Linked DNA regions of Saccharomyces cerevisiae S288C. Changing the gene in region 2 together with the main gene of any one other region gives a genetic interaction. Each region holds a gene or a part of one and is shown on either strand. Other genes may lie near its edges.

Region 1 (2,961 bases), on a different chromosome or scaffold from region 2:
AGAATCTGTCGAAGCCTACTTAGTCTCTTTATTTGAAGATACCAACTTGGCTGCCATTCACGCCAAGCGTGTCACTATCCAAAAGAAGGATATCAAGTTGGCTAGAAGATTAAGAGGTGAAAGATCATAGTTTGTTGATTGTCATCAGTTTTAGTAAAAAACGAACAAAAACACAATAAAATATAAATCAATATATTTAGGTTTACTGGGTTCTTTAACAGTTGTATAATAGTTATTTTTTATTACAAAAATATAGGTTTTAATAAAAAAAAATAGGGTTCTATTTGTTTTACATTTATTGATTTGTTTTTCCTGGCGATACCCTCGAAAAAAGCCAGGCCTTGTAGGAGGCAAGATTTATGGCTTTCCATGTGGTTAAAGAAAAATTGCAGCAGGAAGATATTCATTCATGAGTCAGTTATATAATCGATATATAGCTACATATTAAACAACTTGAAGCCGCATACGTGGTAGGTGTCTCATTTTCAATTCAAAATATTTTAAACAGAACCGGAGATGAAGAACCACTTGTCAATAGACTTGTCAATTGGAGCATCTGCCTTTGGAGAAGCTGGTGGGATGGCATCAGAGGCAGCCTTGGAGTAGGTTGGGGTGTCAGGCAAAGTAACATTGGTCAAATCAATACCCTTGCTGTCAGAAGACTTACCAGCAATTAATTGTTTCCAGGAGTCATGTGTTTCCTTGATGATATCCAAAGCGTACTTCTTGTTCTTAGCTTCACCGGAGAAGGCAAATTGGTTTTCTGGCTTACCATCTGGGATTTTGTAAATTCTGAACCATTCGTTAGTAGCCCTCAACAGACCTGGGAAGTATTTCTCAACATCCTCAATGTCGTTCAATTTTGGGGCTAATGGATCGTTAATATCAATGGCAATAACTTTCCAATCGGTCTCACCTTCATCCAATAAAGCCATGATACCTAGAGCCTTAACTTGCTTGACTTGACCAGTGTAAGCAATAGTTTCACCAATTTCCAACACATCAATTGGATCGTTGTCACCAACTGCCTTAGTTTCTGGGTGGCTTACGTTTGGGTCTTCCCAAGTTTGTGGGAAAGCACCATAGTTGTGAATGTAACCATGGTGAGGGAAACAGTTTCTAACAAATCTCAACTTGCCCTTCTTGGTGTCTTGGATGATTGGGTTCAAAGTTTCTTCCTTGGTGATTTCTAACTTGGCGTTGGTCCAACGTGGAATTTCAACAACCATGTTGAAAATGTTGTTTTCCTTGTCAGCGTACAAGGGAATGTCGTGGAAGGCAGAAACTGGCTTACCATCCTTTTCGATATAAACTTTGTATTCCAAGGTGTTCTTGGCACCAATTTGTCTGGTAGTGTAGGTCATTAGTAAATTGCGCGGCGGGATATCCTGTTCTATAGACCTAAGGGACAACAAATCAAAATAGATGATTAAGAAAGTAAGTATTCAAAAACAAGTTGTAAATGAACTAACCTTCCTAACTTCGACGCGACCTTAAAACGTCGAAAAAAAACGAGAAAAAGTCATCATGAGACTATCGTATCTAATGACTGTGGCTTCTCCCAACAACCTTAGCGTCTGCGATGACGATATTTTGAAGAACAGTCAAATCCGTTTGAATAGTGCGCCACACAGGGATAATAATAGCACATTGGCATCTCCTTCTGTGAATGAAACACTTCTACCTGGGCTTCAAAGTCCCGCAACCTTTTAGTTACATAAAATTCGGCGGCTAAATCATGATATTATATTGATGGGTAATGTAGCGTTCAGTAAAACGGTTCCTATGTATTACTATCACGTGGGTGGGGAAGACCACATTCTTAGAGAAGAGTAATCATTTTAGCAGATTATTTTTACCTTTTTCAACTCATGAACTCATGTTCAAAGGTACAATATATTACCCTTTCTTCAAAGTATCCGAATGATTTGAACCGCACTCTGAGGGAGCCATCAAATTCTATTGAGCGACTTCGAATCGAACAATCCAATTAAATCAGCCTTTAGCGCCATATTTCTCCTTGTATCCATTGTTTACTTCTCCCTTGTATCTTGTATATGAGAATTATGGGAATAAGATAATTGTTGGGATTCCATTGTTTTCAAAGGCTGTAATATTAGGTACACAGATTATACTAGAAGTTCTTTTCGAGGATATAGGAATCCACAAAAGGAAATCGATAGTTATACATAATAATATTATTGTATCTTACTTCCTTTTATATGTTGTCACTCATTATTGTGTCGTGCATTCCATTAGATTGGATGACTGTTTCTCAATCTTTATGCCATCCTCTTACACCGCATGTGATATAATAGTAACATGAGTGCTGCGAAATAGATGATATTAAAATTTCATTCCAACAAAGTTCCATATATATCCATATATATATATATATTTCACGAGGATAATGAGTTAAAATACTATGTAAAGGTATTGTGGTTCATTTTTCTTTTATCAATTTTTATCCAAGTTTTTCTGATCTATAACATGTCCAATACACTTTTTCGAACTATAACCGCCAACAAATTTATCTTATAGACGAGAAACACTTTTATGATATCGATGTTCTACACCTACTGCCGATAACACCGTGTTTTCACTATTATAGCATATACCATTTTTGTAACCAATGTGTTGTTGTAATTCTCCGCAAGGCATATCCCAGATATTCTTATATGGCCCATTTCCACTTCGTTGAAGCCTCACATCAAAAGAGCAATCTTGAGATAATTTCAAAACCACACACATCGCTGCAGTTTCATAATATCTGTCATCACTGATGCAATAATTAAGTGACGAAATTATATCATTATTAACAGCTGTATTATTATTATAATCAAGACAAGCTGAATTTGATGCAAATATATATTCCCATTCAGTGCCGTTTCTTTCGAATTTATAGAAATCACTTCTTTGTAGGTAATTGTTCTGGCTTACTTTGAGCTTATTCATGTTAAA
Region 2 (3,425 bases):
CCTTTGGAAAGCTGGTTCCATGGAGCCTGAAAGCACCACCACGATCGGAGAAGCGCTATTAGTAGCAATGGCTAAGCCTTGCCAGAACATGTAAGCAGATGCAAACAAAAAGCAAACGTTCAATAGTTTCTGCAATTCAAATCTTAGATTCATCTTGTGCTAACTCCCTTGGGGTTTACTTTCCGGTATATTTCTGTAGTATATTGTTTCTGCACCATTTATTTCCTTGGAGATTATTTTTTTGAAATCGCTTTTGCCAATGGAAAAAAGTATACGTATGGTAATAATAATAAGAGCAACAGCGCTCTCTGAAATAGAAGATACCAGCAGCTTCGTGGTCTTGGGAGTCTTGCAGCTGACAGAGAATGACATTGTTGTGCAGGTGTGTCACATAAGATCTGGAAAAAACCAACAGCTACAGAAAGAACCGCCCTCACGGAGAATAAAGTCAATAGTAGCTTTTTTTTACGTACTTTCTATTTACATGCTATATAAGAGGATTATATCTTTGCGCCTTTGAGAAACTTTGAGGAACCGGCCTGAAAATGTTGTAGATTGAGCTTTTCTTGCTTAACGTAGTCGTTGAATTGCTTTAGGACGCCTGAGTCCAACCTACCATTGTCCTTCATCACAATGTCAACGAGGTTGCTATACGTACGAAGAACTTTACTCGACTCCATAGTAGCGAGAAACACCTCTGTCATATCAGATGCATCTTTTCCTGTGTCCAGGGAAAGACAATCCTTCAGGGAGAAGTTTAGGCCCGTTGTCGAGGATAGTATGGGGAATTTAAGTTTCCAGCCTTTATCCAAATGAAGACACATTAGCGGGTCGATGTCATTATCGAAGGCGGATCGCAGTAATCGCTTGGTGACAACCTCCTTTATAGTGGCACGTACCACCGGATCGTACATCTGATATTCTCGAGGTACAGAAATGGAAGGGTTTTCCTTTAATGAGACTCTTATGGGAGTCAATTCGCACCAGAAGGTGTCAATGAATTCAGGATTGCAGACAGCTGCAAGCAAACGAGCTTTTTCATTGGTAGAAGTTACGTACACTCCTTGGCATTTCGCGTATAGTAGGTGTTCTAGGATGTTTGATTGCAGTTTACAATTAAAATCCACCAGGTCTGATCGCTCTCTTTCTATAGAAACAAGATTCGTCATATTAGGAGATACACCAAGAATCGATATGATCTTTTCAGTTGCAAACAGTGTATCAACAGGTAGTAAACTGATATTCTGTCTTCTGTCAGTTGCAAATGTACTGTCAAAGGGTATTTTTTGCCAATCGACCAAGCTAGTGTTGAACTTATCATCAACGGTCATCTTGCAAAAAGAAAATGAGTCGTTTGTCAGGAAAACACTAAACAAGTTGACTTTGCCATCTTCAACGAGACGACCCCTCAACTGCTCGAAAATGCCACATCGAGAGACCAAAAAGGTTCTCAATGGCGCCTTTTTAGTGTCATACCATTCTTTTTTACTACCTAGGATCATCGACAATGATTTTAGAGTTTTAAAATTTGCTTTGCGGCAATACAAATCTATAGCCGGGATCACCGACCTTGTTATATTCTTCGGAGACATCTTTAGAGTAACCACAGATATTCAATACCAACCTATACTTCCATTGCTGCTTGTCTCACATCTAAACTTCGCCGTTTAGCGAGTTTTCATAATTTTTCACTTACCAGCACTTTTTCATTTTTCCCTTTTCCGTTGTTGAAACGGATCAAAGTTTGGAATAATAAGGATACAAAACGCCAAAAGAATGCGAACTTTCAAGCGTGGAAAAGTATCGAAAGACATTCATTCAAAAGATTCTAACGTGATTATCGTAAATAGCTGGAATTGTAGATATTTACAATGACATAGATCATTTTTCTTCGACGAAATTACGGCCTAATGTCGAGACAAGAATAATATGACGCTGATCTGTGTTTTGACAAGAATATGAATGATCTTAAGAAAAGGTTTCGCTGAATCAATTGGAAGACAGCGTCTTCAATTGTCCTACTAAATTCTTTACAGATGACATCTGGGTCTGGGGAGATCATGCAAAAAAATAAGACATCATTTATAACTTTCAACCTTCCGCTCACAGGACAAATTCTCGAAGACGCTACGGAAAGATGCTGAGCTTGATCATAATTCTTCAGGCTCCCAATTCAAGAATACAATTACTTAGCGTGGGTGCTTCTGCTCAGTCTTCGTTTCCTATCTCCACATACCAATCACTCGTTTGTTACTAATTCGAATAATTTACTGCTGTAAGGAGTCGTACCGCCAACTAAATCTGAATAACAATTTGGCTGCTAGAAGTTAAAAAGTAGGCGCTGCAATGATTATGTGGTATGATCAGATTGTGTCGCAACGCTCAGCGGGGTTTTGGCTCAATGGGACCGCTGCTAATAAAACGTTTAACTAGCGAATTTTGGAACACACCGGTTGACAAAAGTATAAGGAGTCTCTTTCCGTGAGTTCCCCTCTTCCTCTCACTGCACTTCAACTATGCCTTATAGCAACCAAGAAGCTAGAAAATGCCAACTATTAAAAAGATAACCTCTTTGGAAGCAAATAAAACGGAGATTATCTTGGGATCTATTTCACAAATTTACGGCTAATTGGAATGAACAGCGCCAAGTAGCACTGGTCAAACTGCAGAGAGTATTAGAACTTGCTTTATTCCGTATATCGTACTTTAGGTCGTCAGTTTTACCACTTCGGTACGCAAATGAAAATGAAAAGCTCATTCACAACTTAGACACAATTTCGCCGTTTACAAGTAGCTGAAAAGTCCATCTATCGAATTATGAATGATACTATTTTAAATATAGTCGTTGCTGCACTCGTTTTCCATGTTCTTTTTATCCACACATCCGATGTTTTACTTACAGTTGAGCATCTCAGGGCCAGCGACAAATATAAACATATTATACTCAAAATGAAGCTCGTTGAAAAGAGGATATTTCTTAACCTCTTTTACAGTGCTTTCAACACCTTTTCATCTGTGTGCCATGTCAGATTAAGGATGCTCAACTTTTCGAATTATTATTACAAATTTCAAAGAAATTACTAGTCCTTTTTGTCCCCTAATGTATCCCTCATTTCATACCGTCGTTTTGGGGTTCCAACTACGTATAGCTTTCAAGTGTGGTTTTACGGTAAGAACAACCCCCCATCGGTTAGTGCGGAATACTTTCCTATTCTCATCGAGAGCCGAGCCATACACCTAAGGTGGACAGAAAGCTAAAATTCCAAAACAGAAAAATCTAACATCTTTGCTCCCTTACAAGTAGGAACGCTAGCGTATCAACCCATCTCCAGATTTGCCCAGCATTTCTGTAGAACACCCAATGCGAATGAAGACTAATGAATATTGTAAAGACAAAAAATAGGAAAAGTTTAATTAGTGATGGT
Region 3 (2,572 bases), on a different chromosome or scaffold from region 2:
CATATTACGTAATAAGTTAATACTGGAGCGAGAATAATTTAAATCATTTCATCATAACCCATAGCTGAATGAACTTTGACTACTCCTAAACAAAGTAGTAACAATTTTCATTTCGTTTCCGGTTTCTTAGATCGAATATTATTCTGAGGAAATTCCCTGATTACATATCAGGGAAAGGTTCGCGTTTTTAGAGAATTGCGTAATGCGATTTGAAAGTTTAAATTCCTAAGCGACTCTTCTTCATGATAAGACAGTTTATATTTTGTATACTTTCTCATTCCCATAATTTGTAGTGCCTACGGGGATGGACTTGTCTTGGTACCAACTGACGGTACGTTCTGATGCTGCCTTGCTTGTGCTCCAACATTTTTTTTTTAATTTCATTTTCGTGTACGGTGCGTATATCGAGATGGCATCTGAGTATATTTACTTTGGTACATATACTAATATTAACTAAATACAAGGATGGTGGTTGAAGATTCCTAACGTACAGGAAGCAACCAACTAGGAAAATATATGCACTGCTGCATGCTTTCGATAACACTTGTGACGTAATGATGGAGGCTTCCTTGACTACTGATTGCTGCTTGCACTATTATCTGCACCAGATGAATTTGTTGAATTCGGAGGAGGTTTCGCTGTTGAAGCGTCCCCTGCTTTCGCCTTCGCATTTTTTTCTCTCTGAGCCAGTTCCCATTTTAACCTTTCTGCTGCTCGATAAACTTTGCTCTGTAAGTAGAAGCTTCCACCTTTTTCTTTATCGTTAACCTCAAATAGATAGTTAAACCTGTTATTAATCTTGTCCATGTTTAAATCGCCCTTGGATTCTTCAATATTTAAAATTTTACAACTCTCATCCAACGTAATACCACCATATTCGCCTTTTCCTGTTCCCCTTCTAGATGCATTTGTAGCACCTTGTTTCACTGATTGTGAAGCCGCTTGTCTATACGCCTCGGCGAATGCTTTTCCAAAAACTTGAGTTCCTGTGATTATAACCTGTATGAAAGCCCTGTGAGCCATATTTTATATCCAACAAGTCTATGTTTTTCTTATGCTCAAGTCACGAAGCTGTTGCCAAATTTATAGTCAGCTGAAATATGTGAATCGGATGCAAATGAGTTATAAGTTGAAGCTTCAAAATTTGCTACGTGAAAAATGATAAACGATGATGAAGTAAATAAATATCGTAAAACGAAAAACTCTCTTTTAAAAAATTCATATGTAGGAATTTCATTTGATAAGAACCTCACTCTTCATATCAAATAAGTCATTAACCTGCCATGAAATGAATTATGGAAACAATGCAGCTTTTTGAAAGGAAAAGTGCGGTGGATTTTAACGTTAAGGATCCTCTCAACTAATGATTGATGCTTAATCGTGGCATCTATAAATAAAGCATGAATTGTTCTCTATAGTTACAAAGTGGTGATTTATTATAAAAGTGTTTTGATATTCACGCTTTCAACATTAAAGCTAAAAACAAAAGAAAAAAAATGAAGACCAATGCGAAAAAAAATACCAAGATTGAAGTTTTGGAAGAAAAATTATGATGATAAAATTAAGCTTTCAAAAAAGATTAAAATGAATACTATTAATTTTAAAATTTCGTTTATGGCTTACAGTTGTGCATTATTGTATTAAAGTAAGATTTATTAGATAGGGATTCCTTCGTATTCCTCATGAATTCTTCAGAAAAGTTTTTGATTTTAGTTATTGGACAATTATGGCCCAAGTACCCACATGCACAATCACAATTTGTTAAAATAGTCTTTATTGACCCCATCAACCAGAACTTGTCGGGATCCGGTAGGGAATCCAAATCTTTAGATGCATTTATTATCTCCCAAATAGGATTTCTCAAATCCCATTGCCATTCTACGCTTATCTCTTCTCCCTTACGAATATCTCTTATAGCCCTTAAAACAAATTTAACTCTACAATCATTATCTCCTCTTGGTTTTTCGTCAAGCGGTCTTACCGTTACTAGTTCCACATTGGGCTCACAACTCCGTCTTATGTATCTTGTTAATCCGCCTGTTTCTCGAGAGTCTATATATAAAGGCCAATGTGGATGAAAAAGTACTTTAGGTTTTGTCGTTCCCATCAAACGATAGTCATTATTTGGATCTGTCTGATAATTTTTTTGAAAATCAATTTTGCCCAAATATTCTTGAATTAGCTCACCTTTAACACAAGAATCTGCAGCGAAGACTCCAAAATCTCTTTCATTTGATGATTTTCTTACCTCGATGTCAGCTGACCTTGAGCTTTCCCAGTTAGAACAAACAACCCAATCGTCATCATAATGGTTATCAATAAACATCTTAACATATTTGTCCTTATACTCTGATATTGTTATTGCTTTGAATTCCGTGTCATTGGAAGAACTTACCTCATTCAGTAGTGGCTTCAGAAAGTGGCTTGATACTACCAGTTTTTCTTGCCTCAATTTTTTCCGTATACTATTGCTATTTTCAGTTGTTGGGGCGGTATAATGAAGTTGACGTTTCTTGGGCTGTTCCTCTATGTTATTCACAGACTGTTGATGCTGATTTGTGTTCGATGCTGA
Region 4 (2,715 bases), on a different chromosome or scaffold from region 2:
CATTTTGTTCGGAACAAGAACTCTTGAAAGCAGAATAAGCAGCATCAGCGTCATTGTTTGGGCAGATGGAGTCTAGACATTTCTTGACGGCGGAGTTTTCGTGTTCACAGTAACAGGTGACTTGATTCAAAGAGTCACATGTGGAAGAGGATTTGCCGACTTGCGCAACACAGGCCAATAAACAAGCTGGAGGTGTTGCTAAGACTTCCTTCGACAACAATGCCAAAGAAACGACTGAAGATAATAAAGTGGTGGCACGCATGATAATATATAACGAGTGTTGAACGAGTGTAGTAGTGCTGTGAGCTTTGACCCTGTGTGTATTAACAACTGGCGAAATCTATTTATCATCCCTTTGTTTATAAGTTCGAGAGTGTTTATAAACGGTGAAAAATTCGTGAAAAATTAACGGAAAAATTGTAAAAAAGAAATAATGGGTCCTAATGCATGTGGTGCATGGGTCCAATGCTTCTATAAATAGTAATTTTCCGGGTAATAGGTTTTTGTAACGTTATAATGGCTTTACTATTGATGCTATATACAGGAAAAGAAAGTATAGAGGTATTTTCTAGTACGCTTCCTTACTGTTGTGGTGGAGTAGGAGGTGTAGGTGGTGTAGGTGGTGCAGCTGGTGTGGATGATAAAGACGGCGTGACCTTTAACAGATTTCCGTCCTCGTCGTATTCTGGGATGGGAATGTCCGTTCTCAAGTTTCCATCCTTACGCAATCTATCGATAACAATGGGCTCGAAAAATCTCGTGCCCGTGTAGACTCCCACAAGGCATGCGATACCTATAGTGACCATATCTAAAGTGTTCTTTCGCATATTGCACTGGACTTGACGTTTCTTGTGTTTGTTACTTTTGTCAGTTGAATGACTGAATAACACTACAATTGTTGTATTTTTCAGCCAATCCATTTCTTCATCGCGTTTCCCCTAGTTTATGCGGAAAAGATAGAAGAAGCGCACAGGCAAAATATGATGTAATACAATCAATTGTGGCCAAAAATACAAGAGAAGGGGATGACTGTAGCTGTATTGTCTCTATTCTTTTCAAGGGGTTGTTGATGTACCGTTGCTGAAGGGTTCGCTGTACTATTTAACACCCTTTGGGCTTTCTAGCTTATTGTTTAAGCAGCTTTTATTGGTGGCGTACATACTAAATTGTAAAGGCGCGCGCCGGTCTGTTAATGATGTTGAAATTTTCATTTCGAGGACTTCGCCCTTTTCTTCCTGAATGAATCAGAGAAAGTGAAATCAAATAGTAAGTCAGAACCAACCATTCGGAAGACCTCATTCTTGCTCATTTTGATATTGCTCTGTATGGGCGTATCTCTTTTAGCTTCTTCTTCTGCATTTGTAACTAAACCACTCCTCACTCAATTGGTTCACCTCTCACCTATCAGTCTCAATTTCACCGTAAGACGCTTCAAGCCATTCACGTGCTTATCACGCTATTACACAACAAATCCTTATAATATGACATCCAATTTTAAGACATTCAATCTGGACTTTTTAAAGCCGGATTTAGACGAAAGATCGTATCGGTTTATTGAGCTACCTAATAAGCTGAAGGCTCTGTTGATCCAGGACCCAAAAGCAGATAAAGCAGCAGCGTCGCTAGACGTCAATATTGGCGCCTTTGAAGATCCAAAGAACCTACCTGGATTGGCGCATTTCTGCGAGCATCTTTTATTCATGGGCTCTGAGAAATTTCCAGACGAAAACGAATACTCGAGCTATTTAAGCAAGCACGGTGGTTCATCCAATGCCTACACAGCATCGCAAAACACAAATTATTTTTTTGAGGTTAATCACCAACATTTATTTGGTGCGCTAGACAGGTTTTCAGGGTTTTTCTCTTGTCCTCTTTTCAACAAGGACTCTACTGATAAAGAGATCAACGCCGTTAACAGCGAAAACAAAAAGAACTTACAGAATGATATTTGGAGAATTTACCAATTAGACAAGTCTTTGACCAATACAAAACATCCATATCACAAATTTTCTACAGGAAACATCGAAACTTTGGGCACATTGCCAAAGGAAAATGGACTAAATGTTAGAGATGAACTGTTAAAATTCCATAAGAATTTTTACTCCGCTAACCTAATGAAGCTATGTATTCTTGGTAGAGAAGACCTTGATACTCTCTCTGATTGGACTTATGATCTCTTCAAGGATGTAGCCAATAACGGTCGTGAAGTACCCCTTTATGCGGAACCTATTATGCAGCCTGAGCATTTGCAAAAAATAATTCAAGTCCGTCCTGTGAAAGATTTGAAAAAACTAGAAATCTCTTTCACTGTCCCTGATATGGAGGAACATTGGGAGTCCAAGCCACCGAGGATATTAAGTCATTTAATCGGCCATGAAGGGTCCGGTTCATTACTAGCACATTTGAAAAAATTGGGCTGGGCCAATGAGCTATCTGCTGGTGGGCATACTGTGTCCAAAGGAAATGCTTTTTTTGCTGTCGATATAGATTTAACAGACAACGGGTTGACACACTATCGCGATGTTATTGTCTTGATCTTCCAGTATATTGAAATGTTGAAAAACTCACTACCTCAAAAATGGATATTCAATGAACTGCAAGATATCTCTAATGCTACCTTCAAGTTTAAGCAAGCTGGTAGCCCATCTTCCACAGTTTCATCATTGGCAAAATGCTTGGAAAAGGATTACATTCCTGTTAGCAGAATTTTAGCCA

The links.
Region 1: mutations in MRS1 (region 2) and IPP1 together harm fitness more than expected from each alone (negative genetic interaction), as found in Saccharomyces cerevisiae (one large-scale study listed by BioGRID).
Region 3: mutations in MRS1 (region 2) and PAM16 together harm fitness less than expected from each alone (positive genetic interaction), as found in Saccharomyces cerevisiae (one large-scale study listed by BioGRID).
Region 4: mutations in MRS1 (region 2) and ECM19 together harm fitness more than expected from each alone (negative genetic interaction), as found in Saccharomyces cerevisiae (one large-scale study listed by BioGRID).

Annotation. Positions count from the first base shown.
Region 1 is NC_001134.8:256,612-259,572, forward strand, and holds IPP1 (inorganic diphosphatase IPP1), read right to left. Parts: upstream 1,365-2,961; coding exon 501-1,364; downstream 1-500. Other genes in the region: HHT1 (histone H3), read left to right, coding at 1-130.
Region 2 is NC_001141.2:395,461-398,885, reverse strand, and holds MRS1 (Mrs1p), read right to left. Parts: upstream 1,593-3,425; coding exon 501-1,592; downstream 1-500. Other genes in the region: signal peptidase complex catalytic subunit SEC11, read right to left, coding at 1-153; YIR021W-A (uncharacterized protein), read right to left, coding at 160-372. UniProt on the Saccharomyces cerevisiae protein: Function in mitochondrial RNA splicing in the excision of mitochondrial group I introns aI5 beta from COX1 and bI3 from COB transcripts and thus would be involved in obtaining the correct structure of the intron, to allow the RNA catalyzed reactions to occur.
Region 3 is NC_001142.9:225,778-228,349, reverse strand, and holds PAM16 (import motor complex subunit PAM16), read right to left. Parts: upstream 1,024-2,572; coding exon 574-1,023; downstream 1-573. Other genes in the region: SET4 (Set4p), read right to left, coding at 1,613-2,572. UniProt on the Saccharomyces cerevisiae protein: Essential component of the PAM complex, a complex required for the translocation of transit peptide-containing proteins from the inner membrane into the mitochondrial matrix in an ATP-dependent manner.
Region 4 is NC_001144.5:901,271-903,985, reverse strand, and holds ECM19 (Ecm19p), read right to left. Parts: upstream 921-2,715; coding exon 582-920; downstream 1-581. Other genes in the region: CCW14 (Ccw14p), read right to left, coding at 1-262; STE23 (metalloendopeptidase), read left to right, coding at 1,326-2,715. UniProt on the Saccharomyces cerevisiae protein: May be involved in cell wall organization and biogenesis.